2 linked regions of the Drosophila melanogaster genome follow. The main gene of each other region encodes a partner of the protein of the gene in region 2 in a complex. Each region holds a gene or a part of one and is shown on either strand. Other genes may lie near its edges.

The links.
Region 1: the proteins of uex (region 2) and PRL-1 are in contact, whole or in part, in a crystal structure (PDB 8CT8), measured with the Drosophila melanogaster proteins. Residues at the interface, in NP_001104390.2 of Drosophila melanogaster: Leu391, Val422, Thr423, Lys442, Cys445, Glu446, Gln449, Asn450, Pro451, Phe454, Phe456, Asp458, His480, Val482, Asn484, Gly488, Asp489, Pro490, Phe491, Tyr492; in NP_001260487.1 of Drosophila melanogaster: Asp32, Ile33, Thr34, Ile35, Asn36, His37, Asp77, Gly78, Cys109, Ala111, Leu113, Gly114, Arg115, Arg142, Arg143, Gly144, Ile146, Asn147, Gln150.

Annotation. Positions count from the first base shown.
Region 1 is NT_033779.5:16,248,821-16,259,452, forward strand, and holds the start of PRL-1 (PRL-1 phosphatase), read right to left. Parts: upstream 8,787-10,632; 5' UTR 8,256-8,786; intron 7,336-8,255; exon of another isoform or gene 7,230-7,335; intron 2,969-7,229; exon of another isoform or gene 2,939-2,968; coding exon of another isoform or gene 2,810-2,938; exon of another isoform or gene 2,421-2,809; intron 1,339-2,420; 5' UTR 1,261-1,338; intron 887-1,260; 5' UTR 131-886; coding exon 11-130; intron 1-10. Other genes in the region: CG46309 (uncharacterized protein), read right to left, coding at 2,810-2,938; EndoGI (endonuclease G inhibitor), read left to right, coding at 9,294-9,359, 9,429-10,442. UniProt on the Drosophila melanogaster protein: Probable phosphatase. Inhibits growth possibly by negatively regulating Src64B-induced growth. Regulates central nervous system circuit formation and stabilization of synapse-dense terminal arbors.
Region 2 is NT_033778.4:3,944,310-3,954,709, forward strand, and holds the start of uex (unextended), read right to left. Parts: upstream 5,117-10,400; 5' UTR 5,037-5,116; exon of another isoform or gene 4,539-5,036; intron 3,913-4,538; exon of another isoform or gene 3,291-3,912; intron 1-3,290. UniProt on the Drosophila melanogaster protein: Probable metal transporter. Acts downstream of PRL-1 and protects the nervous system against olfactory carbon dioxide stimulation.

The sequences.
Region 1 (10,632 bases), on a different chromosome or scaffold from region 2:
TGGGACTTACCATAATGTAGTGATTAATGGTTATGTCTGATGGTCGATCGGTGATTAGGAACTTCATGCCCTTGTACTCAATTAGAGCGGGCGCTGGGCGCAGATCTTTTTGACGCATGGTGATGCTCATAAACAATTACAAAAGCTGTTCTGAAGGACTTAATCTGGCTCGTGTGCACTTAAGTCTGTTTTCTTACAATCTTGAGGTGTGGTTTTTGTTTCGTTTTCACAAAGATTTGATTGGTTTCTTTTAACGGAAGTAGTTTGATTTCTAGATTAAAAATTCAGCGTGTTAGAGGCTTACAATTGAATCTTGTTTAGGCTAGAGTTATGTATAAAAAATAAATATAAATATAAATATAATTAACTCTTTTCGTATCGTATCTTAAATGTTTTACACCAAAACACAAACTTAGTTTAAGTATCGTTTAAGTAAAATTAGTTCTTTTTCTTTTCAATTAAGTACAATTATGGATTTTTTCTGCTATCACAAAGAAAATCAATCAATTTTCTTTGACTGAAAAAAGGGTTCCCTGTTAAGTGTCACACGTATTTTTTAAGCTAACAAAAATGATTTGGGCTCAGTTCCCGTTTTGTTTTCGAAAATATTACAACTTTTTCAAGGTTTCGTTGTTAAAAATTTAAATATATCCTTGCTGTGATATGATCTGTGATCACCGCGATGCTTTGAATTTAGTATTCTTCTTTCTCTCCCATAGATCGACAGTCTTTGGCTAATTGATGCCGCTGCTGTCGCCGCTATTTCAGCTGATCCGTTGACGGTATTATTCTGATGGTATCCACACCACTTATCTATCGATGGCGACTTCCGAAGTGGTGACTGTGTTTACTCAGGCTATCTCCGCCTTTTTGTAGGATTGCTTACCTGCAAAGAGTGAGACTAGAATGAGTTCAATATTCCAGACAAATCTGGCGCAAGTCGGTTTGAGCTTCTTTCTCGCGACTCCCATTGTTCATTTAATTGAAAACAATTCGTGGGAAACTAAAAAACAATTTAGCTCAATTACACGCAATGAAATAATTGAGACTTTCGCCATTTTCGTCTCGCACGACACTCTCTTTTTATCCGCGATGTTCTTCGGGGCGGGTCAAGCCGTCAATTGTCCAGAAAGGTCACAGTGCTTTGTTCACTGTAAGTCAAGTGACCTTTCCATGGCCAGCAAGTGTACCGCCCGTGCCACTTGAGCTAATTAATTAAACGAAAAGTCCATATACCCTACAAAAATAATCCATACTCACTTTTTATTTGTGCTGTGCCTGGCAGTATTCTGCACTGTCTAGATGAAACTCCATAGATGTGGGAACAGGTCTAACCAACTGCAAAAGAGAAATAAAATGTTGGGACAACATTCAGTATCACATTTAAATGAAATGAAAATTGAAAAAAAGCTAGAAATATTTTTGTAGGAATTTATTTGACCACCATTTGCAATCGAGAAATGAAGAATGTTTGTAAACATTACCAGCTAAAAGCGTTTATTGGAAATAAATTGTATACAAAAAAATCGATTTGCAAGTCAATTCCAAAGTGATACATAAAAATTATAATTGAAATAAATAAATTAATTATAAAACTGGTGCATTACAATCGAAATCATTCAAGGGTTAGGGCTCACGTTGTACATAATATACATATATTGTACAATTTTGAAACAGGTGCCATAAGCATACAAAAATAATTTCAACATTTTTAGGATTTACCAACTTTTGCAATACTTAATTAGCAACCAAAATAGCCAATTTAGAATAAATAAAAGAAAACCGCCTTTATCAACTGAAATTTATCTGCGAGAACCAGAAAACATACGCAAGGAAAATCGTTGAAGTGGATTTTAAATGTATTGGTCGCCTGCTGTCTGAAAAAAAAAATATTAAAAATATTCCCTAAAAGTGATCCAAGATAATGACTGCTCATTTCCACGACCGTTTACATTATTTATATTCCGTTGATGATCATGAAAAGCATATGTATAAAATGAGTTCACAAATATAAAGACCGAAACAGAACAATGATTGTATAATATGTATTTCGCATATATACGTGTATATCCACACAAACGCGATAACTCTTTAAGCAAATATTCCATTTTCTATGGCCCCAGTGCGACCTGTGTTTATTTTTGCACTTTTGCCTAAAGTAGGCGAATATTTCTCTCGAAAATTGGCCAATTCCTTATGTTAAAGGCATTTCGATTATGGTATGTATTGGAGAATCCATTGTGGAATAGCTAGTGATATTGAAACGCGTGAAACTAATTAAGAAGCGGGCGCAAAAAAATAAAAACAAAACATATAAAAGGAACACTTTGTTGATAGAACTGAAAACTTTCACTTCTTCTCGGAATGCACCTAGTATATACCAGTACATTCTAGATTTGTCAGTGTGTGTGTGTGTTTACCTCATGACACGTTAAGCAACAACACTTTTTGTTGATGCTATATTTCCCAGTCGGTTTTTACTTGTGACTTATGCAATGTATTTTTTGTTTTGCGTCTTGGCGAAATTGAAAAATCACACAGGCAAATATATATGTAAATATCTATATATACATAGGTATTTCGCTATGCATTTAAGCAAATACAGTGATTAGTTGCTGATTACGACGGGGCGGCTTGTAACCCGTTGATATGGACTCCCGATTAGATATCGACAGGTGTTTGCCGGAAGACACTAATCGATTTTATCCGCGGATCGTAAAGCTTTCTCTCCTATCAGTTAATTCGAATATACTGAGGATTGGTCCTCCACATTCAGATTTGCCAGCGGATAAATTGTATTTACCTATCGTTAATCGCCCGTTATACGGCGAGATAGTATCTCGATTAAATATCGACAAGTGTCGATTCTGAGACGTTGATCGATTACGATTACCACAATAAGTAGACGCGTATTGCTGCGTGATGAGCACTCTCTCATGTTTTGCTATCGACTGGCGATTGTCAACTCTTCGCCGCCCATTTTACGCCACGGAAACGGCCGCTCCGTCCGGCAGTAAGTCTCCATTGCCGGGGAGAACGAAGAGAGAGTCGTGACGCACATCTCTCCAATCGCTCACGCAGAGAGCGAAAAAAAATTATCTACAGTCTGGTGCATATTTAAAGCGCTTTAAAAAGTCTGTTGTGCAAAAACAATAGAGGCAGGAAAAATAGAAACAATTTGCTTGGTTAGTTTTACTTTTCTACTGTTGAACATAATTAGCAGAGTTCAATGGACCATGAAAGGGCGAATTTTGTGCTTACTAAAAATGTTTAAATTTTAAAGCATTTTATTCGTTCTGGTATAGTAGTGACAATATAAGTAGTTCTGATTTAAAATCACGAGGGTATTTATTTTAAAATGTTAAATTGTTTAATTTTAGAAACTAGACAACAAGTTAGTTTGTATTCTGTTCTTTTTAAATATAGATCTTAAAATATTTTTTTCGACTTCGTCTCTGAAATAAGTTTCGAAAATAAACTCTACTAAAATTTTGAATATACCTGTATTTTCGAAGAAACGCAAATCATATTGACATTACCTAACAAACACTTATATTTATGACCAATACAAATTATTTCGCGTTAATGGCTTGGTATTTTAAAGTGCCAAAATGCTTATAGACATATAATCCGTAGGATATTCAAATAACTGTGTGGAAACGCTTTTTAAATCGGGGAATAAATAAATGATTGATAAGATCTTTAGCATATAAAGGTTTTTTTCCCCATCTAGCTACCTGACTTGGAAAGTGTTCAAATACAGCGAAGGAAAGTTTTGCAGTCAGATTATAACTTTTACGGGATGCCAAGGTCAGTCGTTATTTAAGGGCAATAAACAAAGCTAAATGCGGTTTATATTATGCACAGTTAATGAAGGCTACGGCGCACACAAACGTGTAACTTAATATGAAATTAGTCTTACATTTAAACCAGTTGATTATAATCGAGATGTAGGCAAATGGCATGACGACACTAATACCAAATTGCGGCTATATTGTTACTCGCTATATACAAACATACATGCATACATATGTACACATTTGTTCCACTTGAATGCTCCTCGCTACATACACAGATTTTCAAATACATTTTCCAATCAGTTAATACATCATAATGTCTTTAAACGACGAGTTTAATGAAATCAAACTTTTGATTCAAATCAACATAAAGATATTCGTGCAATTAGACAAAACTTCTTAACAGACTATTGTATCTTTGACAAAAAATACTTTTTGTTCTCTCCGAGGTAGCAGATGGTTTTGTCTGTGCGGAAAGTTGATTGGACTTTCCCGAAACAGGAGCAGACGACTTAGACCGAGGGCCAGACAAGAAGGAAACAAAGAACAAGGAACCGATGAAATCTGGAGGTAAGAAAGCAAACACAACTGAATGCCGGTGTGTCTGAGTTTGGATTCGGGGTTCAAAGTACTTCAATTCCAGTTCCCTTTTCTTTTTTTTTTTTTTTGTTTGTCCCCTCTTTCAGTTTTTGTTTAGACTTCGACTGCAATCCTGGCAAACAAGATCGCCCGATTTACGCCAATAATCACAGACTTGCAAAAAATAGTAGTAAAAGGTTGTAAACAAATTGAAAATGACTAACGGACGGGAAATGTGATGAGGGTAACTGCCACTCAAGCCTCAACTTACTAAGCTAAAGTCTGTCCACGGGTGTCAATAAAACCGGAGACGTGCCGAAAAAAAAAGCCAGACATAACGCAGACACTAAGAATACATTAAGTCTTATACACTTATTAAAAAAACAAAAACTAGCTACCTACATGGGGTAGAAAGCTGGTAGACTAAACATTCAATAAAACAGTACACTGTTACCAACTTGGAACTTAAATCATTGGAATCATTGGTATCTTAAATGAATATTGAGAATAATTGTAAATGATTTAGGATCAATAGATATAAATTCATCTTACAATAAATGTATAGTCAAGAAGATTGATATAGATAGATTGATATAGATAGATAGATATAGATAGATACGAGATATAGATAGATATAGATATAGATATAAAGCAAGCAAGAACCTTTTTTGTACTGCCAAACACATGAAAACCAAAACTTTTCTAAGTTTTGTTCACCTTAGATATTCGCGGCACGCTTTCAGATCAGATAAGTATGGGTATTGGAAACCCAAGTCAAATGAAAAGACAGCAAAAAAAAACACAGACCAAGCTCGAGTTATTGATTTTGCGCGACTAGCAAAGGAGGAAGGGCGATGTCCAAGCCCCAGCACCAACACCATCTCCATCTCCATCCATCCGCGATTTCCGTATTTCGCCATAATGGAAATTTTAAGTTTGCCCCGAAGCGTCTCGAGTGCTGCGAACCAGGAGGAGATGAGCAGGAAATGGTGGCCCCACCACGGGGGCAACTAGGATCTCAAACCGCCTTTTTCTAGTTGCCAAGTGGTCGCGCTGTTTTTCGTGACGCACCAGGCGGCGACTTCTCATGCGTCATCAACGACTTTTAATCGGAAAACAGCTGTTGTTGTTTTGTTTTGATAAAATGCAACCAAAACAAAAATAAATAAGCAATCTTGTCTCGTTATTGCAATTATCGAATGCATGCCTTCTCCTGCCACAAATTGCAGGTCCTTCAAGGTTGATTTACAGACAAGGATTACGTACATACATGCATAGTACATCAACAAAAAAGTGCCATTTTCCTGGTTAGTTTTGGGTACTGTGTACCTTAACCAAGGGCAGGCCAAAACTATTGAGGACAAACAGCGCCGCATTTATCGCGCACTATATATAGAATCCGGGGGTGGTCGGTGACATTTTCCCCTCCCATTTTCCACCAATCTACCACCCTCCACCCTCCACTGACGTTTGTAAATCGTATTGCATGCTTTGTTGTTCGCTTTTTGGTCTATTTTTGGATATGACATGTATTGGTGAAATTCTGCACACAAGCGGCCAAAACGTGACAGCAGTAAAAAAAAAAAAAAAAATAATACAGCACAATGATATATAACCGCGAAAAGTAGTCTGAAAGTTCGCAACTCTCATGCTACTTCGATATTTCTAATTAGCGAGTTCTTGACTTCTTCCTAACTAATGTGCGAGTGTATTTAATTAGCTGGCTGTAGAATTTAAGCTGCCGCTACTGTACGAGTATGACCTCAAAAGACCGTGAAATATACATTTATCTACATTCAATTAATTTTGAGAATTTCTATAATTACAACTTGACACATTTATAGATTTGGTTACAGATCACGGAGCAGTGAAAGTTGTAAATTTTAAATAAGTTTAATTTCGGTAATTGTCGAGTAAGCAAATTTATCGCACAACAACAAAAATTAAGAAGATGTTGAAGATGTTCAGAAAGATCCAATAAATTGCACTAAATCAAAATGACCTCAAACAAATTTGCTGGAAGCATTTCAATGAACGAAAGTATTGCCACACATTTCGAGGAATTCAATTGGCTTTCGATTCGATTGTGTGCGTGGGAATATGGAATATTTTAGAACTGGCGGAAAGCAGATAAACCCAGACAACAAAATACAAACAGCTGGAATACAAAATAACCAAGAAGCGTATACGTAATCTCTACACTGAGTTGAGATACATGTAGTAGTACTCTTGATAAGAAAATGGAATTTAATGCAATGCTAGATAGATAGGTATTCAATCTTGAAAAATGTATATCTGTATGATTGAAAGGAACCCTACCAAATTAATCGAGTTTTGTAATCGATGCGTTCAAGTTATGACGTCTTTTCGTATGAGTTTGTTCGGTATATTTTTGATAAAGTCAAACCGGATTTTAAAATTCTTCCCTTGGCTGATACGCTTATCTGCTCGCTCTTTTTTATCACGGATAAATAAAAAGAGAGAATGAAACCGAAAGAGATTCTTTTCTTTCTTTTGTTTGTATTGCCGTGGCCGGGGCACTATCATTGAACTTGTTCAAGGACAAGAGACCCCAAACGGAAATAAAAGGGAGAGAGCACAAGAAATCTGACAAGAGAACCGGTTAAAAAATGGATATCGTTGGGATTTTCAACCACCGGTTGGCGTATAATTGATATTCCTTTGGTGCGTATGGGACAGTTTCAGTTGCCAGGTTCCATTTCTATACCGCTTATACCGCTTTCAATACCAATTGACGCAATTTGCTGATATCGATTAGCAAACAGTGCGATCAAGATAAACACAGGTGGAAAAAATGCGAAAATTCGAGATAACAGCAAATCACAGCCAAACCTTGTTGAGTAACAACTGATTGTAAAATTGAAAGCTATGAACGAAGGCAATCTTTTTGCACTACAACTTTGCTCCGTCCACATTTGTTCAGTATAAAATGCCAACTGATTTGGCTGTTTTGTTCTAAAAAAAACAATTTCTCTCGGCCATGTCTTTTGTTTACTGTTTGCTCTGCCGCTTTGATATGATATAAATCTGCTCGAAATGTCTTCAACAGATTAGATATTAGATTAGAATCTACGTGTATGTACCTAGCAAATGACGTATGAAGATGATAAAAACTGCCAAAAAAAATAAGAGAAATAAACTTTAACTGGTGCAGTGCAAAATAGTTTTGGTCCCGTCCTAGTTCCGTTCGGATGGTAAAACTGGGTCAGCTGACATTTATTTTCAACTGGCGAAGGCAGTTAACCAGGTAACTGGGTCGAATGAAAGTAAAATGCGTGAAGTTACCCATTTATTGAAGTATATGATTGTTGTGTATGATAACAAATGGGACATTACATTACTTTCCTTAACGTTTTTTATGCAAGCACAGCAGAATTTGCAATTCGATTAATTTGATTGCGAAGAAAAGAATATTATTCATAGCAATTACACAGATTTGTTGGTATTTTGAGAAGAATACATTTAAAAAGTTCACATTCATATTTATAAAAAACGTAAACACAATTAGTTTATAACATATTCTAGTTTTACAAGATGACAATTGTTTATAGTTTTTGCACAGACAAATAAAAATGTAACTGGTTGATATATACTAAAAAAAAATTTAAACAAATTCCAGAAACTATTTCTAATGCCAACATGTTTTTTAAGACTATTTTTCGAATAAAACAAACAAAATCCAGTTAGAAATTGTTTAAACGAAAAAAATTGAATGTAAATGCCAACGCACGCACACAAGCACACATACTTTGTGGCTCAGTAGTTGTGCGAGTGTTCGTTGACGTTCGAAACAATTTATGCAACAAAAATGTATTATTTAAAAACTTGCGGCTGTAGCCGATCCCCTGCCGCACTTACCACAATTGCCATACACATTTGAGTATAACTTTTGAAGCTTTTTCGTTGCTTTTCGTGCACGAGAAAATTGAATTCACGTCCACACGCACACACAGACGCACCGCGAGACTCTCACCGACACGAATTCCACGAATGCAATTGGCTGGTGTGTGTTGCCTTTTACGACACAACTATTGCTCTTATTGCAACTGTAAATTGATTGTATCTTTAGCTTAAGTGTTTTTTATTGAATAGGATTGTTAAACTTTGGTTTTTCAGCGACATTAACGCAAAATTCATCTGCAGCTTAACCTCAAATTTCTTTGTGTCTGTCACGCACACACACACACAAACACAGTCAGCACGGGGCGGAACCAATGGTATAAGATGAATCTATCAATTTGACATGAATTAATCGGGCGAAAATAATATCTGTAGTTTCCAGCACGGATTGCACAATTTTTTCTACCGATTTCCAAGAGCAAAGTACTTGTAATCGAAGTAGGCGTTGCGAACAATTCGCTCGTTTGTGTTGGTAGACACGGATGGTGATTATATTCGATAATCTCGAACACTCGATAGAGCCGATAGTATCGAGTGCAATTAAGTGTTAGATAAACATCGATTGCGGGCAGAATCGATACTTTTTTGTAATAATTTAATTACCTATTTTGCAATTGTCTTTTAAAAACAGTTTTTTTTATTTTAAATGTAAGATGTGATTTTAAAGGAAGTTGTACAATATATATACATATATATTTATTTATAAACCGACATAAAATATATAATATTTTCAATATGTCACATACTTTCTTTTCTTATTCATCCAATAAGTCGTCTTATTTTGATTCTTGGTCTGTCCTTCCGAGAATATTCCAATTAAAATTATTCTCTATTGAAAAGAACTACCCTACTATTTACATTCGTAGTATCGCAACAGCAAGCGGCGATCTGAATTAGTCATCTTATCTCTTTCCGACAGAAGTGACGATCAATAGCCCAACGATTTTAAACGCTTTACTTCGAAGAACCTTAAATCGCCAATTTATCCAGAGGGGAATGTCCAAGCGCAAGGCCGAGGACACACAATCCGACAAAATGGCAACGGCCGAGAAAGTAGCACAGGTAATAAGCAACAGCCATAGAAAATAAACAAAAATAGTTTACAAACAATAACAACTATTGTCTGGACAGAACGATTACACCATTGGCCTGGTGGATCCCGTTAAGGATTACCAAAAGCTTATCGAAACACGCGTGCAGGTAGACGAAATCGTGGATGATGATGTCACCAAGGAGAATTTCGATCGAACGGCTGCAGCGGCGCGTGACGTCATCTGGCGGCTGTTATTCGACGAGGCCGGTACCTCGCAATCGAACACAGAGAAGGCCAGCCAATTGCTGGAGGAATACCGTGGTGACGCCTGCTTCTACGACCCGACGCCGTACAACGAATGGATTGTCAAGCTGAGGGATGAGGTTCTAAAGAAGGAACTCCTCGACTTTTGGCGCGATGTGCTGGTGAAGAAGCAACTCGGTCCCTGTTGGTCACGCGACAGTGATCTCTTTGACAGCGACGACACCCCGCCATTGGAGTTCTATGCCCATGCCGGTTGTACCGCTCCATTTGCAGCCAGCTTAAAGGTGCGCGCAGCACTCGAGGAGCAGGCTTCGCTGGATCAGGATGGGCCAGCGACGCCTACAACTCCGGGTGAACTGAGTGCCGATGATGCCGCCGCTCTGTCTGGCGAATTTGAGGCCACCCTGACCAAGGAAAATCCGCTCGAGGAATACCGAACTCTAATGAAGCGCTTTGTTCTGACCAAAATCATCGTTCCGGACAGCGTTCACCAGGCCAGCGTGAAGAAGATAGCGGCAGCCGCCAGGGAGATAATCTGGAAGCTGCTCTTCGATGGCACACCCTCAGCGGAGGATCAAAACAAGGCCGCCGAGCTGCTGCAGGAGTACAAGGGTGATGCTGGTTTCTATGGGCCCGACGACTACAACAGTTGGATTTTCAATCTGAGGGATGAGGTTCTCACCAAAGAGCTTCTCGACTTTTGGCGCGACAAGATGGTGAAAATGGAACTTGGTCCCAGTTGCGCCCGCGATTCCGACTATTACGACAACGAGGATCCGCTGCCATTCGAGTTTTACGAAAAGGCTGGTTGCAAGGCTCCCTTTGAAGGACCTGTAAATGATGATTAGTAGTGCATCTTTCATGACTGAAGGATTGTTTCCTTATGTACTAAAACACCTATTCTGGTCGTAATCTCTGAAGGCACACACAGTAAAGCATTTCAATATCTGAATTATGTTTCGAAATGTTAGAAATTGTTTAAAAATGAATAAAATGATAAGTATTTTATAACTGTTCTCAAAAATAGTGGTCCTTTTT
Region 2 (10,400 bases):
TTCGACATTTTTTCTTCAGCTGAAGCTCCAAAAGCAACAGAAGTTTCATCAGCTACAGCCACCTGTCAAATTTCAATTGGCTACATGCATTGCTTCATATTTTAGTTATACATACAGACATACATACTTCCAGGAGAAGATACATATAATACAAGTTAGTTTTAAATATACTGTTTAAACTGCTACGCCCACATTTTTAAAAAAATTGTTGGATATTTTTTCATAATTGTATATGTCGCTTAAATTTCTATCGATTTTTGCCACGCCCACTTTAACGCCCTAAAGCCGCCATACCAGTCACGCCAAATTTTTTAACAATTTTTAATTTTTTTCTCATTTTTTCCCCCAATATCTATCGATATCCCAGAAAAATAATGAAATTAGAGTTCGCATTCACACTAGCAGTGTAACGGGTATTTGATAGACGGGGAACTTGTCTATAGTATTCTCTCTTTTTTATATTTAAGGTTTAAGGAGAGGTACTCCGATCATTTTTGTAGAGTTTGTTAGCAATGTTGCCGCGACGATGCCTGCGTGTCTGCATGTAACCGAACCCGTTCGCATTATCTTAGGCCGAGGCTAGGCGACCCGAGCATGCATGTTAGCATTTAGAATTAGATTTAAGGCTACGAAAGCCACATACGATAATTAACAAAACTAAAACCGAAAATTGAAAGCGCCCATAGGGGGACAGAGTGGGAACGATAGCGACAGAAACTTCTGGAAGAAGTCCAAAACTCAGCGAAAAGTTTTGTGAAGCAAAAAGAACGAAAAAGGTGTTTGGGAGCAGAAGCCAATGAGTAAAGGCAAATTTGTGAATAAATGTGCGACAATTTCGCAGAAGAAAATTTACTGGGATACAGACCATCGTGTGACGCCTTATCCAGACCGGCCGAGACCAGGAGAAACGAAAGAAGGACAACTTGGAGGAGACACACGGCGGACCCGGAATCCAAGTCATCAAAGGAGGGAACGGCGAAAAGAAGATGACAAGAATTTGAAACGAGAAAGGCTGGAACAAAAATGTGATATCATGGGAAATAAATACAATTAAATCATAATAATATATATATTGGAAAAAATCTGGAAAACAAAAAAATAAAACCCACGATGCTCAGAAGGGCTTATTTTCTTGAAGACCATGTAATCGTGAATCGAGTCGTCCCAAGTATTTAGTGTTCTGTGTTTTTTGTTTATTTTTTTTGTATATTTAATATTTTTAATTTGTTTTTTGATTTATAAGTAAAATAAATATTGTTTAATTATATTTCATAAAAAATTGAGTTTACGTATGCAAAGAACTCTTAATTTTTACCTTTAAAGTTAAAAGTTTAATTTTTTTCACAGTGCGTAAACAGTTTCTTGACATACTGTATGCAACGTAAATAACTGTGCTTTTGTAAGTGAGTGCTTGTGTCCGCCGATCCTAAAATATGTGAATTGGCACCACAACTTACAGTTATTACATACATATGTAAACATTTAGTTTTAATAGGTGGAAATTCGAAACGAGTGAAGGGTGCTTAAATTTTGAGATACAGGACATTATTTTTAACGCATCAAGATGTGCTTCACTACCAGTACGGTTCATTTCATAACCAAGGAATTCTCATTCAGGTTTAAAAATTTCAAATTTATTTAGGTTAATCTGTTTGTTGTTCTCACTAATACGATCTAATAATTAAATAATTCCTCTACAGTTGTGGTAGCTACGACTTTATCATCCATATACACTACTATCTGCTTGTGATGCCCGTTATTCTTAGAGTAAAAGGATATACTAGATTCGTTGAAAAGTTGTTAGGCAGAATGAAGCGCGTCAGCATTGTTTATACAAAGCTTCTTAGTAGCTGTGAAGTATTACATTATCAGTTGCTAACTACTCCCCCTTCAGGCTTATGACCGTCCTCGGTCATGTTAAAAGTGTCGATGGTTCGCTGTATCTCCCTGGAGGCTCGTCTTCTCCTTAATGCCAGATAAAGTGCGAAGGAGCCACTTAACCCAACGTTTAGGACCACACCAGCTACGAACCAGAGTTTAGGCGAACCTTCAGATTCCATGTCGTCCTTAAAGCTTTGGATGGAGAGTAGGTTCTCGTTATTCATCCGGTGAAGCAGAGGGATGCTGAGTACAGGGTGTTAAGTATGTTAAGTAATGGGGAGCGCACAATGCCTGGCTGCTTGCTTGCTTTTCGTAGGTTTACGAACTCGGAGCCATTGATGGTTGCCGTTCGCTCGAAGGTCACCAGGTGGGTTCCCTCGACTAGTATTTCTGGGCTGCCATTGGTGCTAACACGAGCTGCTGCTTCGTTGATAATCACAACGCAGTCATCTACGGGAGGTACTTCTTGCAAGTAGCTGGGTTGAATGTGGCATTGGGCTGCGCTTCCTGCGTGGAGCGAGCGCGCACAAGATTCGCGCCGGGACCGCTCGCAGAACGTGTAGTGTGTGGTATCTGTGCATTCGGTGACCGCAAAGGTGTCATGCTTGCATTCGGCCAGCGTATCCTCGTCGAGGCGTAAGATGATGATGTTGGTGAGATACAGGGTAGACGGCGACTTTCTTGCAACCGAACTTGACTCTGGGATAGGCAATTATAATATGAATGCTGTTCTCGGACTGGAGGACCCTCATCTTGGATGCTTCTATTAAGCTGACAATAGGGGTGTCCTGTTCTACAAGAGACTTCAAGTCGGCATGGTCAAGAATGGTGGGATTTGCAATGTTTGATTTGGCCAAAGTAATAGTAAGAATTAAATTTCTGTAAAAAGCATCCTATTTCTTGCCAATAATGCTTCATATAAATGTGGAGTGTCAACCAAGTCGTTTTTACGGGCACTGATGACCTTATTGATGGTGTCATTTAACTTGTTAATCTGCTTCTGGGTTTCGGAATTTATGGTTATCTGCCGGGTCAGTCGCGATCGAACTCTCGCAGTGTGCAGATGTGCCAGCGGACAAATTCACGACGACTACTTGTGTACCGGAGCACCGCCTATCTCTCACCTACGCCGAGCGATCTGTTTGGCTATAAAGTGGATAAAGTGGCTTTGGCGGTTGGCAAATGCTTGTGCCTAAAAATAATACAGGCAAGCGTAAGGAGCCACCTAATGCACCCACAATATCGAAATCCAAAGTACCCAAGGTACTCGAAAATTCCATGAAAAAGACATTGGCCATTGGCAGCTCCACCTCCAGCTCCAATGAAATTGAAAGTGGTAATGATAAGAACAACGAATCCCTAGAGGCCGGCGAAATTAGACAGTTCACCATAAGAAATACCGTAAATACCTTTTTTCCACTCTCAAATTATACTGTGCAACCTTTTCCTTTTCTCTTAAATGTACTATTTACTAGTACGTTAAATGTTCTGCCTTTCCTCGATCCGCATATTCATCGACTCTACTATCGATTGTACTTATTACTATCGATTGTAATAAAGAGCTAACATGCAGGGAAAGCCTGAATTTAAGGTATTAGTCAACTACCGACGAATATAGAACTCTTAAGATATTTAGTTATCGGCCCTGTTCCAGAAATCACTTTCGAATGATTCCCACGGGATTCTTCTCTCTAATTGAAGTTTGGTTATATACAAAGAACAACTGTGGAAAAAACTGTAAATCATTACTTTGAGTTTTATTTAAAATAATTAAAAAATAATTGAATACTGAAATGAATCGCATTTGGCTTAAATGGCAAAATTTTCTTATGGTAAAACGAATTACAATGATTTGTTAAATAGGTAACTTACCCCAATTAGCACAATAAATTTTCTGACTCTGAATACCACTTCTACAAAAAAATACATTTTTAATACGTTAGCACAACAACAGCACACGGGACTGCATACTTAAATTCATGACAATAAACTCTGAAAGTTAAGAAGGAAAATTACAAAAATTGGTGGGAGGTAACATCACTCACAAAAGAAATCACGAGATTAACGTTGGAAACTTTTGCTTTAACATGCTTAAAAAAACCTAACTTTTGTTGCTAGAGATTTATGCTACTTTTGATTTTACTGTCTTAGTATTTTTCTTGCCAATATCTATCTATATGTATAGCAAAAAAATATTTTGGCCACGTTATAATTTTTTTATCGATTTAAGTAAAATTTCTACTTTGCACTACTAGAAAAGAAATGAGCTGATGCTGTTTTAGTTACTTTTTTCGACATTTTTTCTTCAGCTGAAGCTCCAAAAGCAACAGAAGTTTCATCAGCTACAGCACCCTGTCAAATTTCAATTGGCTACATGCATTGCTTCATATTTTAGTTATACATACAGACATACATACTTCCAGGAGAAGATACATATAATACAAGTTAGTTTTAAATATACTGTTTAAACTGCTACGCCCACATTTTTAAAAAAATTGTTGGATATTTTTTCATAATTGTATATGTCGCTTAAATTTCTATCGATTTTTGCCACGCCCACTTTAACGCCCTAAAGCCGCCATACCAGTCACGCCAAATTTTTTAACAATTTTTAATTTTTTTCTCATTTTTTCCCCCAATATCTATCGATATCCCAGAAAAATAATGAAATTAGAGTTCGCATTCACACTAGCAGTGTAACGGGTATTTGATAGACGGGGAACTTGTCTATAGTATTCTCTCTTTTTTATATTTAAGGTTTAAGGAGAGGTACTCCGATCATTTTTGTAGAGTTTGTTAGCAATGTTGCCGCGACGATGCCTGCGTGTCTGCATGTAACCGAACCCGTTCGCATTATCTTAGGCCGAGGCTAGGCGACCCGAGCATGCATGTTAGCATTTAGAATTAGATTTAAGGCTACGAAAGCCACATACGATAATTAACAAAACTAAAACCGAAAATTGAAAGCGCCCATAGGGGGACAGAGTGGGAACGATAGCGACAGAAACTTCTGGAAGAAGTCCAAAACTCAGCGAAAAGTTTTGTGAAGCAAAAAGAAAGAAAAAGGTGTTTGGGAGCAGAAGCCAATGAGTAAAGGCAAATTTGTGAATAAATGTGCGACAATTTCGCAGAAGAAAATTTACTGAGATACAGACCATCGTGTGACGCCTTATCCAGACCGGCCGAGACCAGGAGAAACGAAAGAAGGACAACTTGGAGGAGACACACGGCGGACCCGGAATCCAAGTCATCAAAGGAGGGAACGGCGAAAAGAAGATGACAAGAATTTGAAACGAGAAAGGCTGGAACAAAAATGTGATATCATGGGAAATAAATACAATTAAATCATAATAATATATATATTGGAAAAAATCTGGAAAACAAAAAAATAAAACCCACGATGCTCAGAAGGGCTTATTTTCTTGAAGACCATGTAATCGTGAATCGAGTCGTCCCAAGTATTTAGTGTTCTGTGTTTTTTGTTTATTTTTTTTTGTATATTTAATATTTTTAATTTGTTTTTTGATTTATAAGTAAAATAAATATTGTTTAATTATATTTCATAAAAAATTGAGTTTACGTATGCAAAGAACTCTTAATTTTTACCTTTAAAGTTAAAAGTTTAATTTTTTTCACAGTGCGTAAACAGTTTCTTGACATACTGTATGCAACGTAAATAACTGTGCTTTTGTAAGTGAGTGCTTGTGTCCGCCGATCCTAAAATATGTGAATTGGCACCACAACTTACAGTTATTACATACATATGTAAACATTTAGTTTTAATAGGTGGAAATTCGAAACGAGTGAAGGGTGCTTAAATTTTGAGATACAGGACATTATTTTTAACGCATCAAGATGTGCTTCACTACCAGTACGGTTCATTTCATAACCAAGGAATTCTCATTCAGGTTTAAAAATTTCAAATTTATTTAGGTTAATCTGTTTGTTGTTCTCACTAATACGATCTAATAATTAAATAATTCCTCTACAGTTGTGGTAGCTACGACTTTATCATCCATATACACTACTATCTGCTTGTGATGCCCGTTATTCTTAGAGTAAAAGGATATACTAGATTCGTTGAAAAGTTGTTAGGCAGAATGAAGCGCGTCAGCATTGTTTATACAAAGCTTCTTAGTAGCTGTGAAGTATTACATTATCAGTTGCTAACTACTCCCCCTTCAGGCTTATGACCGTCCTCGGTCATGTTAAAAGTGTCGATGGTTCGCTGTATCTCCCTGGAGGCTCGTCTTCTCCTTAATGCCAGATAAAGTGCGAAGGAGCCAATTAACCCAACGTTTAGGACCACACCAGCTACGAACCAGAGTTTAGGCGAACCTTCAGATTCCATGTCGTCCTTAAAGCTTTGGATGGAGAGTAGGTTCTCGTTATTCATCCGGTGAAGCAGAGGGATGCTGAGTACAGGGTGTTAAGTATGTTAAGTAATGGGGAGCGCACAATGCCTGGCTGCTTGCTTGCTTTTCGTAGGTTTACGAACTCGGAGCCATTGATGGTTGCCGTTCGCTCGAAGGTCACCAGGTGGGTTCCCTCGACTAGTATTTCTGGGCTGCCATTGGTGCTAACACGAGCTGCTGCTTCGTTGATAATCACAACGCAGTCATCTACGGGAGGTACTTCTTGCAAGTAGCTGGGTTGAATGTGGCATTGGGCTGCGCTTCCTGCGTGGAGCGAGCGCGCACAAGATTCGCGCCGGGACCGCTCGCAGAACGTGTAGTGTGTGGTATCTGTGCATTCGGTGACCGCAAAGGTGTCATGCTTGCATTCGGCCAGCGTATCCTCGTCGAGGCGTAAGATGATGATGTTGGTGAGATACAGGGTAGACGGCGACTTTCTTGCAACCGAACTTGACTCTGGGATAGGCAATTATAATATGAATGCTGTTCTCGGACTGGAGGACCCTCATCTTGGATGCTTCTATTAAGCTGACAATAGGGGTGTCCTGTTCTACAAGAGACTTCAAGTCGGCATGGTCAAGAATGGTGGGATTTGCAATGTTTGATTTGGCCAAAGTAATAGTAAGAATTAAATTTCTGTAAAAAGCATCCTATTTCTTGCCAATAATGCTTCATATAAATGTGGAGTGTCAACCAAGTCGTTTTTACGGGCACTGATGACCTTATTGATGGTGTCATTTAACTTGTTAATCTGCTTCTGGGTTTCGGAATTTATGGTTATCTGCCGGGTCAGTCGCGATCGAACTCTCGCAGTGTGCAGATGTGCCAGCGGACAAATTCACGACGACTACTTGTGTACCGGAGCACCGCCTATCTCTCACCTACGCCGAGCGATCTGTTTGGCTATAAAGTGGATAAAGTGGCTTTGGCGGTTGGCAAATGCTTGTGCCTAAAAATAATACAGGCAAGCGTAAGGAGCCACCTAATGCACCCACAATATCGAAATCCAAAGTACCCAAGGTACTCGAAAATTCCATGAAAAAGACATTGGCCATTGGCAGCTCCACCTCCAGCTCCAATGAAATTGAAAGTGGTAATGATAAGAACAACGAATCCCTAGAGGCCGGCGAAATTAGACAGTTCACCATAAGAAATACCGTAAATACCTTTTTTCCACTCTCAAATTATACTGTGCAACCTTTTCCTTTTCTCTTAAATGTACTATTTACTAGTACGTTAAATGTTCTGCCTTTCCTCGATCCGCATATTCATCGACTCTACTATCGATTGTACTTATTACTATCGATTGTAATAAAGAGCTAACATGCAGGGAAAGCCTGAATTTAAGGTATTAGTCAACTACCGACGAATATAGAACTCTTAAGATATTTAGTTATCGGCCCTGTTCCAGAAATCACTTTCGAATGATTCCCACGGGATTCTTCTCTCTAATTGAAGTTTGGTTATATACAAAGAACAACTGTGGAAAAAACTGTAAATCATTACTTTGAGTTTTATTTAAAATAATTAAAAAATAATTGAATACTGAAATGAATCGCATTTGGCTTAAATGGCAAAATTTTCTTATGGTAAAACGAATTACAATGATTTGTTAAATAGGTAACTTACCCCAATTAGCACAATAAATTTTCTGACTCTGAATACCACTTCTACAAAAAAATACATTTTTAATACGTTAGCACAACAACAGCACACGGGACTGCATACTTAAATTCATGACAATAAACTCTGAAAGTTAAGAAGGAAAATTACAAAAATTGGTGGGAGGTAACATCACTCACAAAAGAAATCACGAGATTAACGTTGGAAACTTTTGCTTTAACATGCTTAAAAAAACCTAACTTTTGTTGCTAGAGATTTATGCTACTTTTGATTTTACTGTCTTAGTATTTTTCTTGCCAATATCTATCTATATGTATAGCAAAAAAATATTTTGGCCACGTTATAATTTTTTTATCGATTTAAGTAAAATTTCTACTTTGCACTACTAGAAAAGAAATGAGCTGATGCTGTTTTAGTTACTTTTTTCGACATTTTTTCTTCAGCTGAAGCTCCAAAAGCAACAGAAGTTTCATCAGCTACAGCACCCTGTCAAATTTCAATTGGCTACATGCATTGCTTCATATTTTAGTTATACATACAGACATACATACTTCCAGGAGAAGATACATATAATACAAGTTAGTTTTAAATATACTGTTTAAACTGCTACGCCCACATTTTTAAAAAAATTGTTGGATATTTTTTCATAATTGTATATGTCGCTTAAATTTCTATCGATTTTTGCCACGCCCACTTTAACGCCCTAAAGCCGCCATACCAGTCACGCCAAATTTTTTAACAATTTTTAATTTTTTTCTCATTTTTTCCCCCAATATCTATCGATATCCCAGAAAAATAATGAAATTAGAGTTCGCATTCACACTAGCAGTGTAACGGGTATTTGATAGACGGGGAACTTGTCTATAGTATTCTCTCTTTTTTATATTTAAGGTTTAAGGAGAGGTACTCCGATCATTTTTGTAGAGTTTGTTAGCAATGTTGCCGCGACGATGCCTGCGTGTCTGCATGTAACCGAACCCGTTCGCATTATCTTAGGCCGAGGCTAGGCGACCCGAGCATGCATGTTAGCATTTAGAATTAGATTTAAGGCTACGAAAGCCACATACGATAATTAACAAAACTAAAACCGAAAATTGAAAGCGCCCATAGGGGGACAGAGTGGGAACGATAGCGACAGAAACTTCTGGAAGAAGTCCAAAACTCAGCGAAAAGTTTTGTGAAGCAAAAAGAAAGAAAAAGGTGTTTGGGAGCAGAAGCCAATGAGTAAAGGCAAATTTGTGAATAAATGTGCGACAATTTCGCAGAAGAAAATTTACTGAGATACAGACCATCGTGTGACGCCTTATCCAGACCGGCCGAGACCAGGAGAAACGAAAGAAGGACAACTTGGAGGAGACACACGGCGGACCCGGAATCCAAGTCATCAAAGGAGGGAACGGCGAAAAGAAGATGACAAGAATTTGAAACGAGAAAGGCTGGAACAAAAATGTGATATCATGGGAAATAAATACAATTAAATCATAATAATATATATATTGGAAAAAATCTGGAAAACAAAAAAATAAAACCCACGATGCTCAGAAGGGCTTATTTTCTTGAAGACCATGTAATCGTGAATCGAGTCGTCCCAAGTATTTAGTGTTCTGTGTTTTTTGTTTATTTTTTTTTGTATATTTAATATTTTTAATTTGTTTTTTGATTTATAAGTAAAATAAATATTGTTTAATTATATTTCATAAAAAATTGAGTTTACGTATGCAAAGAACTCTTAATTTTTACCTTTAAAGTTAAAAGTTTAATTTTTTTCACAGTGCGTAAACAGTTTCTTGACATACTGTATGCAACGTAAATAACTGTGCTTTTGTAAGTGAGTGCTTGTGTCCGCCGATCCTAAAATATGTGAATTGGCACCACAACTTACAGTTATTACATACATATGTAAACATTTAGTTTTAATAGGTGGAAATTCGAAACGAGTGAAGGGTGCTTAAATTTTGAGATACAGGACATTATTTTTAACGCATCAAGATGTGCTTCACTACCAGTACGGTTCATTTCATAACCAAGGAATTCTCATTCAGGTTTAAAAATTTCAAATTTATTTAGGTTAATCTGTTTGTTGTTCTCACTAATACGATCTAATAATTAAATAATTCCTCTACAGTTGTGGTAGCTACGACTTTATCATCCATATACACTACTATCTGCTTGTGATGCCCGATATTCTTAGAGTAAAAGGATATACTATATTCGTTGAAAAGTTGTTAGGCAGAATGAAGCGCGTCAGCATTGTTTATACAAAGCTTCTTAGTAGCTGTGAAGTATTACATTATCAGTTGCTAACTACTCCCCCTTCAGGCTTATGACCGTCCTCGGTCATGTTAAAAGTGTCGATGGTTCGCTGTATCTCCCTGGAGGCTCGTCTTCTCCTTAATGCCAGATAAAGTGCGAAGGAGCCAATTAACCCAACGTTTAGGACCACACCAGCTACGAACCAGAGTTTAGGCGAACCTTCAGATT